Linked DNA regions of Nothobranchius furzeri. The protein of the gene in region 2 purifies or fractionates together with the protein of the main gene of each other region. This does not show direct contact. Links are inferred from orthologs where the notes say so. Each region holds a gene or a part of one and is shown on either strand. Other genes may lie near its edges.

Evidence for each region.
Region 1: the proteins of rab11a (region 2) and wdr44 purify together in Homo sapiens (affinity purification with mass spectrometry; 3 studies listed by BioGRID and IntAct, counting the BioPlex papers as one, with this or other methods). This does not show direct contact. The link is inferred for Nothobranchius furzeri from reciprocal best matches to the Homo sapiens genes RAB11A and WDR44.

What each region holds. Positions count from the first base shown.
Region 1 is NC_091750.1:46,976,659-46,986,017, forward strand, and holds the end of wdr44 (WD repeat-containing protein 44), read right to left. Parts: intron 9,138-9,359; coding exon 9,075-9,137; intron 8,974-9,074; coding exon 8,364-8,973; intron 8,100-8,363; coding exon 7,951-8,099; intron 7,869-7,950; coding exon 7,773-7,868; intron 7,588-7,772; coding exon 7,451-7,587; intron 7,276-7,450; coding exon 7,192-7,275; intron 7,105-7,191; coding exon 6,998-7,104; intron 6,915-6,997; coding exon 6,763-6,914; intron 6,687-6,762; coding exon 6,524-6,686; intron 6,447-6,523; coding exon 6,382-6,446; intron 6,269-6,381; coding exon 6,152-6,268; intron 6,067-6,151; coding exon 5,944-6,066; intron 5,850-5,943; coding exon 5,658-5,849; intron 5,572-5,657; coding exon 5,470-5,571; intron 5,391-5,469; coding exon 5,275-5,390; intron 4,344-5,274; coding exon 4,216-4,343; intron 4,138-4,215; coding exon 4,003-4,137; intron 3,930-4,002; coding exon 3,841-3,929; 3' UTR 3,232-3,840; downstream 1-3,231. Other genes in the region: zgc:163098 (U2 snRNP-associated SURP motif-containing protein), read left to right, coding at 89-176, 263-391, 508-697, 1,601-1,681, 1,759-1,822, 1,919-2,069, 2,166-2,276, 2,665-2,831 and 1 more. UniProt on the Homo sapiens protein: Downstream effector for Rab11 which regulates Rab11 intracellular membrane trafficking functions such as endocytic recycling, intracellular ciliogenesis and protein export.
Region 2 is NC_091749.1:66,751,706-66,761,690, reverse strand, and holds the end of rab11a (ras-related protein Rab-11A), read left to right. Parts: intron 1-5,456; coding exon 5,457-5,593; 3' UTR 5,594-7,748; downstream 7,749-9,985. UniProt on the Homo sapiens protein: The small GTPases Rab are key regulators of intracellular membrane trafficking, from the formation of transport vesicles to their fusion with membranes.

The DNA.
Region 1 (9,359 bases), on a different chromosome or scaffold from region 2:
AGGAGCTTTCTTTCATTCACATTTATTACTTCTAATTTAATTTATTTTTATTTCATTTCTCCAAAATATCTCTTTTTTTTTTTTCCAGTCTTGAAACAAAGCTACCGCAGATATTTGAGTTTCTTAATGCCGCCTATAAGAACATACAAGCCCGGCTGCAGGCCGAGCAGTTTAAGGTAATGCGTCGCCTCACACAGTCACCACATTTCTCTTAAATGGGACAGAAGGGAAGAGGAACCATGTTCATGTCCTGTCTTTGCAGCAAAAGGTCATGAATTGTTTTAGAGCGTGGGAAGACTGGGCCATATATCCAGAGCCTTATCTAATCCGCCTTCAGAACATCTTTCTGGGCTTCGTCAAAGCAGGAGAAGAGGAAGCAGAGACGGTAGAGGTGAGCTTATCCTCTCGGCACAGGCACTAAGGTCTTATTGTAACTCCATATAAACATCTGGGGGTGCTGATAAAACGGACACCAAACACCTGGTAAGGAATTTGTTTGTCTCATAGGATACGTCCCGTGAGCTTGATGGTGTGCTGCTGGACAGAACCCTTGTAGATGGGTTACGACTGGGCAGATCTCCAGTGGATGACATCGACGGCTGCCCCATGGGCTGGGACCCCCTGGATGGGGTACCTGTAGATGATCTAGATGGTGTTCCTTTGGCCACTGCTATAGATGACATAGATGGAATACCCTGTGAGTCCACTGTAAACAATTTAAAGTCATTTCTAAGCTTTCTGTGAAACGGTTCACTAAAAGCTTTGGTTTGGAAGGACTGATGAGCTAAGGGCTAGTCTGCTCCCCCCTGGATTTCAGACGTGCTGTTTGAGCTTCCAGCTGCAGCTGTCCAGCCAAACGAAAGGCCATGAAGCAACATGGATGAAGAATGTCAGACAGATGAGATGCAGGGACGTTTTTATGAACCCTAAACTGAACACTGGTCTGGTGAAGGGCAGCCAGTACTGGGAAAATGTAATGATGGTTCCTAGTGTTCGTTAGAACCTGAGCAGCCGCCTTTGGGACCATCTGAAACTGTAGTTTGATGCATGCATACAAAGAGGTACCCATGGGGCGTATGACATCTAAAACCCCATCTGAAGGTTTTCTAACAAAAATATTAAGGGTTGTTCTTCATTGATGCTGATTTGGAGAGTGTAAAAACAGTTCCTCCCAATTCAAGGTAATGTTTACTCTAAATATATTTTACATACAATTCTTAAAGAATAGTAAACACACAGTCGGTATTTTTGTCCAAAACCCAGCCCACCATAGGAATGCAGAATCACAGGCAGTGTAAAGGCCTACTAAATAGTGTTTGCATAAAACCGGAGTAGCTCTGGGCTGGTCAGGCCTTTCAGACTGAAGTCGTTCAGCTATTTGCAGCAAGTAAGATGGTTTTTAGTTGTGAGATTTCTTTAGAGTGGCACTTCAAAAACCCTGTTATGTCCCCTTAGGACAGCTGTTCTGTGTACTGTTTGTTTTTTCTGCTGCACCTCACTACATCGGTGCTGAAACCAAACCGTACCAGGTGTCTGAGCAGATTCATGTGCTCTGTGATTAAGTGTCTGCTTACCTGAACCCGCTCTCTGTTGTCCTCAGTGTATGAGAGCAGTAACCGTCTTTCTGGGGTGCCTTTGTCTAAATGGGAGAAAACCAGTGACACTGGGACATTTTCTCATGGTAAGACACGTCCAGATGTCCTCTGTCACTGGACCAGCCTCTGGCATCCTCTCCGCTCATTGTTCTTTTTGTCTCAGCCAAAGCCGAGTCCAAGTGGGACACTGTGGGCGAGCAAGAGGATGAAGATAAAGTGAATGTTAGGTGAGGCCGAAGTGATTGGTTTCAGTTCTTTATTCATTACAACAGTGACGTGATCTATCGATATGTTTACGTCTCTCCTCTCCATCCTGACAACAGCAGCAACTCACACGAGGAAGACGAGGACTCGGAGAGCGACAGCAGTGCCGACTCCTCCGGTGCACCAAACTATGACAGTGCGGTTTTCCAGAGCTCCCTCAAAAGTTTCCAAGTGTCTGAGAGTAAAAGGAAAAGGCTGAGGGAGGTAGAGGTAACGAAACACCACCACCAGGGTTTTAAACACATTTCTACTGATCAGTCAAAGCTCTTAGTAAGGAGTGGAGCTGATGGACTGTTTCTGACACAGGTAAAGGTAATGAAGTTCCAGGATGAGCTGGAGTCTGGGAAAAGGCCGAGGAAGTCCGGACAGAGCATGCAGCATCAAGTGGAGCACTACAGAAACAAACTGCTACAGAAGGTGAATATTTTAGTTTATGACTTGTTTCTTCTGCCAGAATTAAAACTGTAGTCCTAAAAATGTTCTCATAGCTTGAGTCAGCTCAGCACACACAGTCCCAGAATTAATCAGAAGTGCACCATCTACAGGGAGAGAAGTGTAGCTACACGTCTGGTGAGAGTTTCAGAGTTATGTATGTTGCATTTGTTGGACATGACTGGAATCAAGAAAAAAATTTTCCTTTGAGAGTTACTAGTTCTGAAACTTATCTGGCTCTCGGTTACATTTTTCTCCTAGTGTATTAGTTTATCAGTCAAGTATGGATGTGGAATGAAGCTCACGGGAGAAATTTGCATCTTGTTCTCAATTATATTAAAGACTTGGAGTTACTGAAATGTTTCTGCTGCAGGAGTTTGAAAAGAACGAAGAAAAGAATGAGAGATCAAAGTCCAAAGACGGGCAGAAAGATGACAGGCGGAACAGAGAGAAGAGCAAAAGAAAGGATGAAGGCGACAGAAGACGGAGCAGCGATACTGGAGAACAAGCTCGAAAATCACGGAGCAGCTCTCCCATAAGGCAAGTACTAACAAAATAAGATTGTAACACAGATGTTTATCATATTCTTACAATTTATCTTCTTTCCATTTAGCAGGAAAAAGTCTCCCAAACGGTCCAAACGTTCCCGATCACCATCCCCAGTTCTAAAGTCCAAAAAGTCCAGGTCACGGTCGCCACATCGCTCCCATAAGAAGTCGAAGAAGAGTAAACACTGACTGCTGCTGTTCCAACCATCCATGCAAGATCCAGCTCCCTTTTCTATGTGAAGTTTCAACACTGTAACTACTTATATTTTTGTTTTTAAAATAATCTAATGCTGCAAATTCTGACATTAAATCATCTTTGGTGATGAATTCTGTTTACTGAATAGTTTTTTATGCCAGAACTTAGCAGGGCTGCAAAAGAAAAGCTCAGCCAGCATTTCTGAAAAGTTTTATTGAGGAAAGTACATAAGTTGTTTACAAAAGCAGGAGGTTTGCCATTTAACGGATTTACAGTCCTATCATGAAATGTGCTTTAGCTGAACACAGAAACGAGACCCAGTGACTTCTGAACAACCCTGCAGGATTCATTAGTAACTGAATCTTTTACTGCGGATGTGATGGAAGGGTTGGTGTTAAAGGAAAGGAAATCACTTCCTGTGGGGAAAACAAATGACCATAAATAAGATTTTAATCCAACTTGACAAAAAGACAAATTTAAAACAAGGTATTAGAATTTAACCGTTGCAACATATTCTTCTGAGATGTGAGACGCAAATCAGGAAGGTGCTCATTCTGATGCAAAAAACTTAGCGACCGGGCCGTTCAGCTATAAATGTACATAAACAGCTCCATTTGTTTACCAACCCTTTCACGTTTGCCTGCTTTGAAAGATAAAAACAGAAATGTGACGAGGAATCTCATTTAGTCACTTGTGAACAGTTTTCTGTCCCTTATCTATCACCATTAGGACATGCCCTCCATCGTTAGGGACTAATCTCTTAACAGGCACACCTGTGCATGAAGAGCAGAGGACCCTGAACTGCTCAGTACTTTTTAACATTGATAAAAACTTTGATGGCTCCAGTGAAATCAGCAGACAGAAGAACCTCCGTGTGATCGGTTTTTAGGGCGCCTGCAAAAACAAACAAGAACTTTACTCAGCTGAAAGAAACGCCTCTCTGTGAGCTTAACCCAGGAGAACGTACCTGATGGTATCGTTTCAGAGTCTGTGGAGTCCAGGCTTTTACGGTCCGCTTCTGGCTTCTCCGTTCCCGTTTCCTGAGGGACGATGAGCCCTGGATGAGGTGCAAACACGGCTGAGGTGACCACCGCGTTGTGTGCTGGAAAACAGAGCAGCTGCTGTAGCAAAACGGAGTTCACACCACAGGAATGTCAATTTTAATAAACAGTGCAGGTACCTTTGATCCCTTCCCAGAAGTCATTGCGGTCCCGTCGTACGGATGTGAACTTGCTTAGATCGTGGTAAGTGCTCCAGATGTACACGTATTTATCCTCAGAGCCACTCACGATAAAGGAGTAGTCATGGCTGTAAGAAGACATTTGTTTTTAATAGTGATGCACCGATATGAAACTTTTGGGGCGATGCAGATATTCGATTACTTAAGGCTGCACAATATTAGGAAAACCTGCAATATGCGATAACAGATTAACATTGTGATGGCGATATTACTTGCAATAAACAAAGAAATGAAAAAAATGACCAAAAAAATCATAAAAATGAGAAAAGCAAAAGATGAGGAAAGGGAAAATGAAAATGAACAAGAAAATGCAACCAGTGGATCCCGGGAAAAGCACAATCAGCAAAAAGAGCAGAACAAACCTAACTCAGGTGTTTGCTAACCATCAAAATTAAGTGCCGTCTGCCTCGGGGGCGGGCATCTAACCTAGGAGAACCCACCCAATTGGCCAAATGGGTGAAAAGCTCTATTTGAGTTGTTAAAAATACGTCATGCTTCTGTTTGACAGAATGCATTATGTGTAGCAAACATTTGAGCTGACCATTGCAATATTTATCTGTCCTTTGCAATATGCATATTGTGCATGCTGATATCGCAATAACAATATATTTGCGCTATATTGTGCAGCCCTGCCGATAACAGATATTTGCCAATGCGGATATACTGACATTAATGCTTCTAAAACCAGCAGATTTTGTAGAGAAAGAAAATGATTAAAGCTGATTTTACGTTATGTACACACAACACACACATTTATGCTTCTGAGATGATTACAATCACTGTCACATGACTAAAACACACATCACCCCCCTCACCCTCTGAAATCACTAAATGGAAACAAGATGGAAAAAATATCGGTTGTTAATATCGGCCCAGTTCTATTTATCAGACCGATAGCGATATGTTAAAACCATCTGCCGATACTGATGTCGATATATTGTGCATCCCTAGTTTTTAACCAGACTGCTTTTCTCCAGTCTGATGGGAAACCTTCCTCACCTGAAGCTGGCCTTGATCTGGCTGCTGCTGTTGACGTAACCCTTGTACTTCATGGACAGAGACAAGTCCCTCAGGTCGTATAGGCGGATGCGGGAATCATTGGAAGTGACCAGAATCTGTGGAGGATAGGTGGTTTCAGAGCTTCATTACAGAGACTTGAACATGCTGGTAAGTCTGGGGGGGGGCGGGGTTTACCTTATTTTCACCAGGCAGAGGCTCAATCCCAGTAATTTTGCGTCCGACTTTATTCCTCCCTCTGGTGGACCTCACGTGTATTTGAGTGTGATATTTCAGACGCTAATGGCGGATGAGAGGAAATCATATTTCAAACTCGTGATTCCTATAAAGAGCAAACTGATGTGTTCGGTTGAGCAGCACGATACCTCGGTGTCATAGAAGATGCATCGGCCGTCGTACGTGCCGATGACCGCATACTTTCCATTTTGGCAGAAGTTGGCTGCAGTGATGAGCCGAGTCTGGCCATCCACCTCATTCCACAACGCCACCTTCTTGTCTGGAATGTTCCAAAGTCGTAGTTTTCCATCCAGAGAGCCGCTTAAAAAGTATCTGTCATCCTGGGGAGGAAGGAGGACCAAACGCTTCCATAAAACCAGCAGATGTACAGATGTTTGCACCGAGACGATGCTGAGCCGACCCGACTCCACTTACTCTGGGGTGAAAAGCAATGGCTGTGACAAAATCTATGTGCTGAAAGCAGCAGAGACATTCTCTCCTGGATATGTGCCATAATCGGACCGTCTTATCCATAGAAGAAGAGAGCAGGAAAAAGTTCTAGAAACACAAAACGGAAAAGCTGAAACAAAAACGGACTAAAAGCATGAAGAGAGCTCAATTGTGAAATAAGAGAGACAATCACCTTGGACCAGGACAGGTCCAGCAGGTCAGCAGTGTGACCCTTGTACTTGCAGAAGGGGACTTGACGGAAAGGAGTATGTCTGTCTTCAGTATCCGGGTCCTCTGGAATACAACTCGTCTAAAACACAAAAACGACTCAGAATCCTTCAGTTTTATTAAGTATCTGATTATTGTTTTTACACACTGACAACATGAAAAGTTGCTCATCATCAAGAGCTGTTGGAGACTCACCCCAGGATCAGTGTCAGATTTAGAGGAGCATAAACTTTCCTGGGAAGGAGAAGGGGAAACTCGACCTGGAGGAGCCAAAATATCACAAGAATGAAACCGCGAGTCGTTATTTAGCTACAGGATCTATCACCATTCAGGTCACCATCAGGGTTCCTAGAGAACAGACCATCAGTGTTGTACTTTAATCTCATATTATTGAAGTAATCAAAGGCAGTCTTTAAGACCCAGATGCGAACGATGTTGTCCTGGCCTGCCGTTGCCAGGAGCCTCCCACAGTGAGAAAACTTCATTGTCCAAACGGCCCCCTGGAGGACAGCATGGAGGTTTTAGGATGCCGACTTTGATCAGAAACAATAACCAGCAGGGCTGGGATCGTCCTACCATGTGCTCTCCACTCAGGTCCTGCACAACTCTGATCTGATCAAAGTCGAAAGGACCCTTGAAGCTATGAGCGGCCTTGAACTTTACAGGTCTGGTGTAAGGCATGCCCTCATCATCACTCGATGAAGGGTCGTCCGGATCTGTGTGGAACACTTCAGAGGAGAACAAAACTAAAAAGTCTCTGCATGAAAACATGTTAACGGCAGCTCAAATGCTTCAAAAACAAACAAAATACCTTCATCACGCACGCTCTTGACCTTATTGACCGCCTTCTCTCCATACTCCTCAGCGAGATGCTTGGCCCTTTTCACAGACTTGCCCAGGAATTTTTTCAGCTGAGTTCTGGTTGTAAACCAAAAGGAGAATTCTTTTTCACTTCCAAAGTTAAATCATGAGGGAACAGGGCGAGTCAAACCGAAGAACCCTTACGTTTTCTGCTTCAGTTTTCCACCATCTGTGTCCATTAGCGCAGTCTGAGACTTGTCGTCATCATCCGACTGAGCTGCGTCATTCCTGAGTGAGAAAAGAAAATCCCACAGGTTTCCTTATTTGATTCAGAAAATGGTTTGAATGTGTGCAACGTGCACACACCCAAAGCAACACCAGTTCACCTGTGAAAGCTGGACTTTCCTGTTAGCTACTTAACTACACGTACCCACGGAGCCATTTCAAATGATTTCCTGCTTACGTGACGTATTCCTTGGTCCTCCTCATGATGTGCAGAGTGAGAGGGTTGATGCCTGCTGGAAGTTTCTCTTCTGCCTGAATCAGAGGAATCTCTTCACCGGTGTCTAAATTCTTGATCATCACGCTGGCCAGTATTTCCTGTTCAAGGATTACACACAAGTATGGTTTTGTAGAAAATCAGATTATTTGAAAACCATAAAGAAACGTTTTCATAAGGCTGCCAATCCCTGATTTACTGCTATTGTCACACATTAACTCAGGAAAAGATTCAGCATGGCAGGCATTAAATGCTAATGAATGAGAAAAAGCACACAGACTCTTACTTCATCTGTTAGTTCTCTACCAGAGTTGGAACGTGGGCGCTGAGGACCTGCGGCATGTCCTACACTCTGCGATGAGGCCTGTTCGTCCTCATGTTCCTAAGACAAAAATACATTGAAATTAAAAGTCTGATCTTAGAGCGGCTGAGGGTGAAGTGCTCTGGTCCACGGCCCCACTGACCTGTGCCGTCACCACCTTGTCCCCGCTGGTGGCACTGGCCAGATCCAAGGAATGCTGGAGATCTTTGGTGAGACTCGTCACTGTGCTGCAGGGAGACACCAGACCGGAGGGATCCAGAGAATCACAGCCGACCGAACTCACTGCAGAAACTGGAGAATCACACAGGAAATCACAGCACAGAAAACGACCTAAATCCTCCCAACGCAGCATGAGTCACACCCTTCAGGTTAAACTGTCATTTGTCTGTTTGACAGTCTGAATAAATAAAAGATTTGTCCACATGATCACCTTTTGTTTAATAAGAACACACAGAGAAATGTGTTTGCCATTTTGCCGCATAAATGGTCAACAATAATTCACATTTTGAGCTAAAATGTTTAAACTGAGTAAAAATGACTCCAACGTCTCCTCACCGTCCAGTCCACACGGCCTCAGGCTCTCCTGGGACTTCTTGGAGGGTATGGTGTTCCTGGAGGGTGGGGGAGGTCTACGTGGGGGACCGCCAACAGGTGGGGGTGGGCGAGAGGGGGGAGGCTTTTTTGTGCTGGCTACAATATCTGGTTCTACTGTGAATTGTCGGGGGGGTTTCAAAGGCCCCGGTGAGTCTGAATCAGACGGCCTGTCTGTTAGGGGGACTTGGTCTAAGAGGTCTGCGGGCCTCTGCTCCCTTTGGCCTCCTGGAGCCACGACAGCAGCTTCAGGCCGACTCTGTCCGATGGTGCTGGTGATATCTGGAGGTTGTACCTGTTCTTGTGATGCAGATGATGGACCTAGAGCGCCTGTAGGTCCAGGATCCGGTAAAGAGCATTCCCCATTTGCTGCTACGCTTTTCTCTTGCTCCTCCAACCCTTCGACTAGCTCAAGCCTAACAGCCGGAGCTAATTTCTCCGCAGGAACGTTCTCTGGGGACAGTTCTTCCTTTGGTTCTGCTCTAACATCAACATGGAGCTCATCCAACAACTGAGCCACCTCACCAGCATCAGCGCTTCCCTTTTGACTCTCCTCAATGATGCTATCGATGATCTACGAACATGAGAACAGGAGTCCACATTAAAGAAACTGCTGGATAGAAAGCTTTACTTGTATAATTTAATATTTTCTCTATTTCTGTTGGAAAATCTCACCTGGAGAGGATCGTCTTGCTGAGTCTCGGGCGTGCAACAGCTCACATCCGGCTCAGAGTTTTCCTGTAAGAAGAATGAATCTGTCGCATTAATGGATCCATAAAAGCACCAGCTCACATAAAAATATGTAAATTAATGTGTTGTTTAAAACAGAAAAATCATCTAGTTTCCAAAAATATCAGCATTCCAAAAGACTTTTTAAAAATCCTTTAATTTTATTTTAAACACAAATCCAAAGTGAGTTTGAAGCCCACAAAGGACAATAATAAAACGTGAAACAAGTGG
Region 2 (9,985 bases):
CCACAAGCCGGCAGCCGCACAGCAGACAAGCGCCGCTGTGATCTGAGATGCGCAGAGCTGCCGCTGGGGAGAACCGGGTGGAAAGGTTTCCATCCCAGAGCTCCACAAGCCGTCAGCCCGCACAGCACACAGAAGCCGCTATCAGACAGAGATGTGCCGAGCTGCGGGGAGGAGAGAAACGTGTGGGAAACATCCGTCTCCCGAGAGCTCCACAAGCCGATAGTCGGAACCCAGCTCCACCAACATGTTATATTTTAACCCATTTTCTAAAGTGCAGCATTATGTTAAATGTACTGGGTTTTTCCCTATTACATTTAAATTTCATGGTTAAACAGTACATGTTAAAATCTAAGCTCAGCTCGGCAGTGACCTAAAATACATACATATAATTTTACTTACTGAAAAAAATGAAGTGGAGACTCCTTGGACGCTCTATTAGTGCAATTAATGCCACAGCAAGTCATTTTGTCCAACAGTTGCACAAATAATATCCAAAAAAGAATACACACACAGAGAGACTCAAAATCCCGGAACAGTTTCCAAGCCAGACCGAGGCTCTACTGAGGCCTTTCCACGGAGGTAGCTCTGTGGTCACGTGGGTCTGATGCTCATTAATTATACAGAATTTTAGGCTTTTAATACACTTAAACAGAAGAGTGAGAAAAAATTCACCCCCCCTCAGAGTTGTCATGAGTGTAAACTAGATCATTTAAACAAAAAACATGTTTTGGAACCAGGCTGTAAACATGTTTATTTCTGCTGTGAAATTTGTTTTTTTAACATGGGAGTCAATGAGGATTTGCTCGCTTCTGGTACCAGCCCCTAGTGGATGAGGGTGGAACTGCAATTTTTGGTACTTCCGGGATTGCTCAAATTTTTGAGCTGCATTGTGGGGGCTTGGTCGGGTCCTAATTTATGATGTCGACAGGTTTGAGGAAGTCCGGTCTGGAGTGAAAGGTTCTGTTCTGACCTGTATCAGTGTGGGCGTGGAACCAACAACTTAAGAGAATGTATAAGTGTTTCTGCCTTACTCAGATAGCTTCATGAACAGCCTCTGCTCAGAGAAATTGGTTATTGTCCTTCAGAACTGATGTGCTAACGGCTAGTTTGACATCAATGTTTGTTCCTGTCGTCTTACAACAGCGACATTCCCAGTAGAGGTGTGAATCTTCACTTGTCTCCCGATTCGATAACGATTATTGGGTCAACGATTCAATTCGATTCGATATCCCGATGCATCACGATTATTTCATATTGATTTGTTTTCATCGATAAATAGAAGATGTCAGATAATTGCTTTTTTTTTAATCAGAAACATAATTGACACAACCTGCCATCCCTCAAAAGCTCTCGATTCACAACAGGTTAGGACAAAACATTTAAACATTTAAGAAGATTTAACAAAGTAAAACATCTGTTTCCTCGTTCACCACCACGCCTCAGGCTGAGAAAAACACGCTTTGCAAAAACTCACAAAATCTAAAAAAGTACTGAAAACCTACAGGACACATAATGTAATAATAAAATACATAATGGGTTCATATATGAGTGTTTAGTGTCTCTGAGCAGCTCTAGAGTCAAATATTTATGCCACAGTTGAAGGGTGTCAGAAATAACACCAAATTAAATGTTTGACTTAGTTTATTTTATTTGAACCCAGTGGTTCATTTCTGAAATGTTGGAGAATGAATCAAGTTCTGTTTGATGCAGAAAACAATAAAACATAAAACAAATTCTACACTTCCAATAATATTTAAGATGTGTGTTTTATTCTTCCTGATAATAACACCAGCAGAAGGCTGTGGGCTGGATTAGGATTAAATTACCCAGCTGATGGATCTCTTCCACTAACCAGCTAACTACAAACCTTTCCACTAACCTGACCTGTGTGACCCTCACCATGTGACCCTCATGTCCATGCTGTCTCTGGGGGAGCAGATAGGAGACAAGATCTCCTGTAACTTAAAAGGAACCAAAGCTTCCTCCCAGTTTCTCTTTAAGATGAATTTAACATCAGTTTATCTTCATGAAACAAAAGAATAAAGTGGAACAAGAACTTCTATCTTCTATTTCTCTCTCCTTTTAACTTTTCCGTGTCCCTACATAAAAGAGACAGACGATCACGCTGCAGCCGCCATCACTGACCCCGCCCCCTCCCCAAGACCGGATCTCCCAGCATCACAACACTCGGTCTGACTGAGCGCTTCCAGGAGAAATAATAATTAAATTATGAAAATAATAACGTGTTTGGAGCATCGGTTTGGAGGAGCGTCCTCCGATCCTCTCGTGTGAGCAGTGTCTCTCTCAGTCGCTGATCGAGCGAGCGGAGCACGCCGCATGACATCCTGCTCATTTAACATAATTCACGGCCCAAATCCAACAGAACCGGTCGGGCTGATTCGGTTCCGGTTCGGTCTCAGATTACAACTCCAGCGCTCAGCCCTGCAGTACCAAATTAAGGCGGAACCAGTTGGTAAATGTGGAGGACGCTCACTCTGACAGATTTGGATGCTGCGCTGGACAAACTACATTCCATTATAATCGATTATGGCGTACTCTTCTACGATGCAGAATCGTTTATGTCCCGCATCCCGATGCATCGAACAATTCATGCTACCAGATTATAAACACGAAAATCTGTGTTCATTTACAAACTAGCAATGCGTTCTTTGGTTCTGTCAGACTTTAATCAGAATCAGAATCAGAAGAATTTTATTGCCAGCGCTCCTTTCAGAGCGTAGGAACTTGACTCCACAGTACAACCTGACCAAGGTTACACACACACACACACATATAGACAAGACAGATACAGGCAGACCATGGGAGCAGCCATAACGGCGCTCCTTTGTAGATGAGTAAGGGAATACAGGAGGGAAGTTCAGGGAGGGAGAAAAAAGGCATTAACAGGGTTACACCAGCAGGGTGTAGCGCTCCAATGCAAAAAAAACACCCGACATGTAAGCAACAAACGTCACAGTTCACAACATGAGACCCGGTAGGTAGGGGGGTGGGGCTGGGATCCTGGTTTCATCAGCGGGGGCGGCCTGTGTGGCGCTCAACCAGCTGGCTCCGCAGGTGGGAGGGAGGTCAGGGGAAGCACAGAGAGCAGTGAGTCCTTCAGCTTCATGACCTCGGTAGAGAGCACAATCTGAAGGGGGGGGGGGGGGGGGGGGGGGGGGGATAGAGATTCACAGCATTTGTCTGCATTCCTTCCAGCATGGGGGTTTTGCATGCAACTCCAAGGCTGCTTATGGCGTCAGATTCGATAACAGAACTTTGTTTTGGGTCAGACAGAGATAATTTTTCCTCTCTGCCTTAAGTCTGTATTGATCATTCAAGTCCTCCAGTGAAGCCAATTCAGTGATTAAACATCTCCACACCGTCCGGTGACCCTTTCCGAGATGTTATCAATCCTGCACGCTAACACCGGTAACGCAGCCAAGACATTGTCCAGCTTGCGATTCACCTCGAGCAACGTCCCAGTCTGTGAGGTATCCACCCGGACGGTGCCGTCCATGGATGCGGGTCGCCCTCCAATCGCTCCCATCATCCCAATTTTACGGAAAGCCAGATATCCTCCCACTCCAATCAGAAGAAATCCAACGATCATCAGGCCAAATATCCACATATCTTCGACGTCCTCAATGGACAGCTGAGAGAGACAGATGATATTCCACTTTTTCCAGGAATCGAACATGTATCCCGCTGCATGTGTCCCCTGAGGACAAGCGTGAGCCCCCTCCTCCGTCCTCATTGTAGAAAAAATCTTATCAATCGCGTTGAATGACCAATTAATTAAGTCCATATTGAAAAATAAAAAGGTGATTGCAGAGGAAATGCAGAGAAGCGCTCTGTAGGCAGACGGGACAAAAAGAGCCTTGGGAAAACACAGATAAGGGAGGAAAGGCAGAAGCGTCTGCTCCCTGTGAGCGCCAGAGAAAGGGACTCTATTTAACTCTATTTTTATGAGCAGAGGCTGTTCAGGCAGCTGTAGAGTAAGACTTGAAGTATTTCTAAGTTTTACACAGAAACACGTCGGAATGACTCCATTAATCCCATTTGTTGTTGTCACCAATCTGCTCCTCTACCTCTATCTATGGGTGTTCCTCAAGGGTCGATACTGGGCCCAACCTTATTCAAAATCTGCATTAATAACATTGTTCATGCTATTCGCAGTTCTCATTAGGGTTGGGCATCGTGTGATTTTGAACGATTCCGATTCCAATTCCTCCTTTCGATTCCGGTTCCTATTGATTCCCGATTGCGATTCTTTCAAGACATTCCATGTTTTAAGTGAGCCAGCTAACCACAGGTCCTACTTGATGAAATAATCTTAACTTCAACATGGATTTTAATTCTATGAACAACAACATCACCTTCATTTAGACAAAAACATGTTTTAGAGAAAAAAATGGTAAATGGCCTGTATTTGATACAGTGCCTTTTAGAGTCCTGGAACGCCCCAAAGCGCTTTACAACCAATCAGTCATTCACCCATTCACACACACATTCACACACTGGTGGGGATGAGCTACAATGTAGCCACAGCTGCCCTGGGGCGCACTGACAGAGGCGAGGCTGCCGAGCACAGGCGCCACCGGTCCCTCCGACCACCACCAGCAGGCAACGTGGGTTAAGTGTCTTGCCCAAGGACACAACGACAGTGACAGACTGAGCGGGGCTCGAACCTGCAACCTTCCGATTACGGGGCGAGCACTTAACTCCTGTGCCACCGTCGCCCCCAAAAGACTTGCAGCACAACCAGTGTGTTTGTTTCTGACCACAACCAAAGTCTGGAAGAAGCCTCTGGGATGAGAGGCTAAATGTCTCCAGAAACGTCCAGCTGTTTTCCTACCTGCAGCAGCATTCAGTCAGAGCAGAAACTTAAATGTAGCTGCTGTCAGTAACAATCTAACAGATTTTAAACATTAAAACTCTCAACAGAAATAGTTCAAAAAGGAAATAAAAAATGTTATTTATTATTATTATAACTATTTATTGTGGCAGAAGCTGGTGTGGTCCACCACAGAGAAGCTTTTCTAGCATGATGACTTTAATTATTCTACAGGTTATTGTACGGGGGGCTCGGTGCTGCACACAGACAGCTGGTGTGATCAGCTCTGAAAAGCGTTGATCACAAATTGCAGATCACGTTTATTTTTCACGGAGAAAGGCCACGGATTCCTCTTCCGTCTGCATTCTAGGAATCAAAAAGAAAAACGATTCCGGGAAAAACTAACAGTTAGAACCGGTTCCAATCGATGCTCGATGCCAAACCCTGTTCTCATATACATTTATATGCGGATGACACCTTTGGTAGAGCAGGAAACGCAGGGATGGTAGCCCTCGAGGACGGGAGTTGGTGACGCCTACTTGAGGCAACCTGGAGTTTCATTTTAAAAGTCTGATCAGAAGATGTTTCTGAAACTTCCTGATTGAATCTTCTTCTCCTCCAGAGATTTACCGCATTGTGTCCCAGAAGCAGATGTCTGAGCGCCAGGAGAGCGACATGTCGCCTAGCAACAACGTGGTCAACATCCAGGTGCAGCCCACTGAAAACAAACCAAAGATGCAGTGCTGTCAGAACATCTAGCGCCGCCGTGGACCTGCTGCTACCCCCGCCCCATCCCCAGAGAACAGACTGCTTCGGTATGGAAACATCAAACCGCAGAGTCAAACCTGCAACCTGAACTCTACCTGCCCCACCTTAGTTAACCACCCACCCCCATTGTAAGACTAAGTGCCCCCCCCCCAGCAAAGCCCCATGTCTTTAGGCTACTGCAGGACAGCAGGCGTTTCCTCCCTCGTTAGATCTCCTTCCTGTAGAAGCGCTGACTCGTCTCAGAAACGTCTGAATGTGATTAGCTCCCCTCCTTCATTCCTCCACTTTTTTAATGACTCGTCTCGTATCTTCTTACTATATATAAATATATAAATCTGAAGCACATCGAATTCGCTCTGAAGCATAGTCCTCTGTCCACTCGTCTCCTGTCATTATAGCCCCGCCCCCTCCTATAGTGCAATGTACTGTCTGGAAACCACGTGGATGTATCGAGCGCACGAGCGCCGTTCGATCTGATGTCTGTGATTCTGTTCGCTTTGGGCGTGACTCGGTTTTATCATCACCTCTGCATCAGGTGTCTACGGAGGCCTGAAATGGACAAAAATCAATAAAAAATACATTTAAAAGGCTCAAAACAGTATTAATGTTTATCGATGCTTCTGTATGAATTTAAACTTCATTCTGTTATCAGTGTATTTAGAGCTCTTATTTGTTTCCGTATTTTGTTTTTAATTTACCTTTTAAGTAAATTATTGCACTTTTGAAAATCTGATGTTTTCTTTCATTTTCTCCTATCTTTTATATTTTCATGAGCTTAAATATGACGAGGCCTGTTGGCCGTTCTGGTGTCAGAACTACAGCTGATTTGGAGCTTTTGTGTTATTTTAGCTCAAGGCAGCTAGCCTTGTAGCTTAGAGGCTAAACAGGAAGTGTTTCTGTCCTTTTCTGGCTCCGTTTCAGGATCTCTGTTCGTCAGGAGATCTGAGCCAGCTCTGAGGAACAGACTCCGTCACAAAAGGAAATGGGAATAAAATTAAAGCAGAAATCAGAACAAATAAACACAAAATATAAAGATAAATAAGATAAATAATTAAACACATCTGATGAAAATAAAACAATTTTTAAAATCGGACAGTTTTTGGGCCGTTTTTGAATATGTATATTTTTGTCCTTTTCGGCTGTCCATACACCGCTTCTCATGCAGTGACCATCGCTCTGCTGCACTGCATGCTGGGAAACGACATGGATCTGGGTCAAGGGCAGGACTCCTGAACGTTCCGGTTCCGATGCCTGTGCTGAGATGTGATGAAACCCAAACAAAAGCGATTTAATTTTCACAGATCTAAAGCAGACCTGATTGGGTTTCTGATCCCACCCTAAACAGAACAGGTGAATCCCTTCATGACATTCCTCTGACCCACAGAACCGCTGGCTTGCAAAGATAAAGACTGACCCACGCGGAGGTCCGATTCCTGCACTAAACATCTGTAACTTTGTTCTGGTCAAAGATTAGATTTTTTAGCAGAACCAGAACCACTGTTTTAGAACCAGACTAGAGGAATCGGTCGAGCTGATTCGCAGTACCTCCTGCTGCTTGGCCGCCATCGACCCACATGTTCTGATCCGACCCGATCCTCGTGTGCCGTCACATAAAGCCTACATACACCGAGCTGCCTCTGACTTCCACACAGCGCACGGCTCCACCTCATATCGCCTTACATAGTCATTCAGTCATCAAGTAGTCAGAACCGTGCACGGTCCAACCCGACCCGGTTCGGTCCGGTCTGTAAACCGATGCCTCGCTAATGTCTCAAACCCCTGAGTGTTTGTGTTTAGTTACAGAGGGTAGCTCTGGAGTTTGTGAGCCTGGCTGGTTGTTTGGACCCGCAGCACCGCCAGCCTGACCTCTCCAGAACCAGCAGCTGGTTGACAGAGAATGAGTTCTGATCCAGATCAGTTGATTCCATTGTTGTTTTTTAAAGAAGTGTTTTGATTTTTATCTGGTTGATTCTGTAACTGACTGTAATGAAATGATGTCATTTCACCTAGTTGGAGGTTAATGTGAGAACGGGTCCAAATGGGTCCAAACCAACGCTTTTATGTTTGTACAGATCGATGAATTGTACAATGTGTCAATAACTTAAGTTATCAGTTTATCTTAATAAAGCTCACCAGTCATAAACCAGCAGACTTTCACTTCCTGTTAAACACCAAGTTCCAAGTTTAGAGGTGCCACCACGTCCCAAAGGTTCTGGACTGGTCTGAGATCTGAAGGTCGTTGGGAGACCTGTGAACTCATGGTCATGTTCTAGAAACCAGTTGGGGAAGATGTGAACTTTGTGACATGGTGCATGATCCTGCTGGAAGTAGAAGATGGGTCCATGTGGTCAAAGGGATGGACATGGTCACCAACAAGACTCAGGTAGGCTGTGGCGTTGAAACCAAGCTCAGGTGGTACTGATGGGTCCAAAGTGGGATTAGAACACCCCCAACAACTAATACACCACCAGCAGCCTGAAGGGTTGATACAAGGCAGGATGGATCCATGCTTCCGTGTTGGCGACACCAAATTCTGACCTGACAGCTAAAATCCAGACGCACCAGACCAGGAAAGTTTTCTCCGGTCTCTCCTGGTCCAGTTCTGGTGATCCTGTGGGAATTGTAGCTTCAGTTTCCTGTTCTTACCTGACAGGAGAGACACCTGGTGCAGTCCTCTGCTGCTGTGGTTCTGCAGACCTGAGTAGGAACCATAGCTGCTGTTGACTAGAACAAGGTTGGGGTGGTGGGGGCAGAGGTGTTGAGTGCCCACCCTGTAACTGGAGGGTTGTAAGTTTGCATCCCACTCACTTAAGTTGTTGTGTCCTTGAGCAAGACACTTAGATTTTGTGAAGCGCCGTGGGGTTTAGAAGGTGCTAACATTTCAGTATAATTTCTGGTTCCTTTCTGCGGTGTCTGTGCAACTAACAAACCATAAAACCACTCATCTGAGTTCTGACAGGTTTATTCAGTTCAGACTCGTTACACCTACCGAAGCTTTTCTCGGGTTCACGGATGAAAGCGTGAGCAGAAACAAACCATTTTACATCCGGTCAGCTTTGGAGCTCCTCAGGGCTCGGTGCTCGTTCGGCTTTTTTTATGAAATTGTTTTTATTCTGAAACAAAATCATCGTGTTTGACTCTGAGGAAACGCCATCTTTAGCTGCTTGTACAGTTAGTTATACGTCAAAAGGTGAATGACTATATTTAGCATTTTAAAGTCAGTTTTTCAGCTTCATTTCAAACAACTTAATCTCTTAATTGTAACATTAAAAATACTGACCAACAATTATCCTGTAGTACAAACAGTATATACACTCACTGGCCACTTTATTGGGTACGCCTTGGTAGTACCGGGTTGGACCCACTTTTGCTTTCCGAACTGCCTTAATCCTTCGTGACAAAGATTCAACAAGGTACTGGAATCATTCCTCAGAGATTTTGGTCCCTATTGACATGATGCCATTTCACAGTTGTTGCAAATTTGTCGTCTGCAAATCTCCCGTTCCACCACGTCTCAAAGGCTCTCTATTGGATTGAGATCTGATGACTGTGGAGTCCATCTGAGAACAGTAAACTCATTGTCATGTTCAAGAAACCAGTCTGAGATGATTTGAGCTTTAGGACATGGCTCATTATCCTGCTGGAAGAAGCCATCAGAAGATGGGTACACTGTGGTCATAAAAGGATGGATCAGCAAAAATATTCAGGTAGGCTGTGTCAAAGATTATCAGTTAGTACTAAGGGGCCCAAAGGGTGCCAAGAAAATGTCCCCCACACCATTACACCACCACCAGCAGCCTGAACTGTTGATACAAGGAAGGATGGATCCATACTTTCATGTTGTTGACGCCAATTTCTGACCCTACCATCCAAATGTCGCTGCAGGAATTGGGACTCATCAGACCAGGCAACATTTTTACAGTCTTCTACTGTCCAATTTTGGTGAGCCTGTGGGAACTGTAACTTCAGTTTCCTGTTCTTAGCTGACAGTAGTGACACCCGTTGTGGTCTTCTGCTGCTGTAGACCATCTGCCTCAAGGTTCAACTTGTGTGTTCAGAAATGCTCTTCCGCACATACCTTGGTTGTAACGAGTGGTTATTTGAGTTACTGTTGCCTTTCTATCAGCTCGAACCAATCTGGCCATACTCCTCTGACCTCTGGCATCAACAAGGCATTTTCACCCACAGAACTGCCGCTCACTGGATGTTTTCCTTTTTTTGGACCATTCTCTGAAAACCCTAGAGATGGTTGTGTGTGACAATCCCAGAAAATCAGCAGTTTCTGAAATACTCAGACCAGCCCATCTGGCACCAACAAACATGCCACGTCCAAAGTCACTTAAATCACCTTTCTTCCCCATTCTGAAGGACCGGTCGAACGCC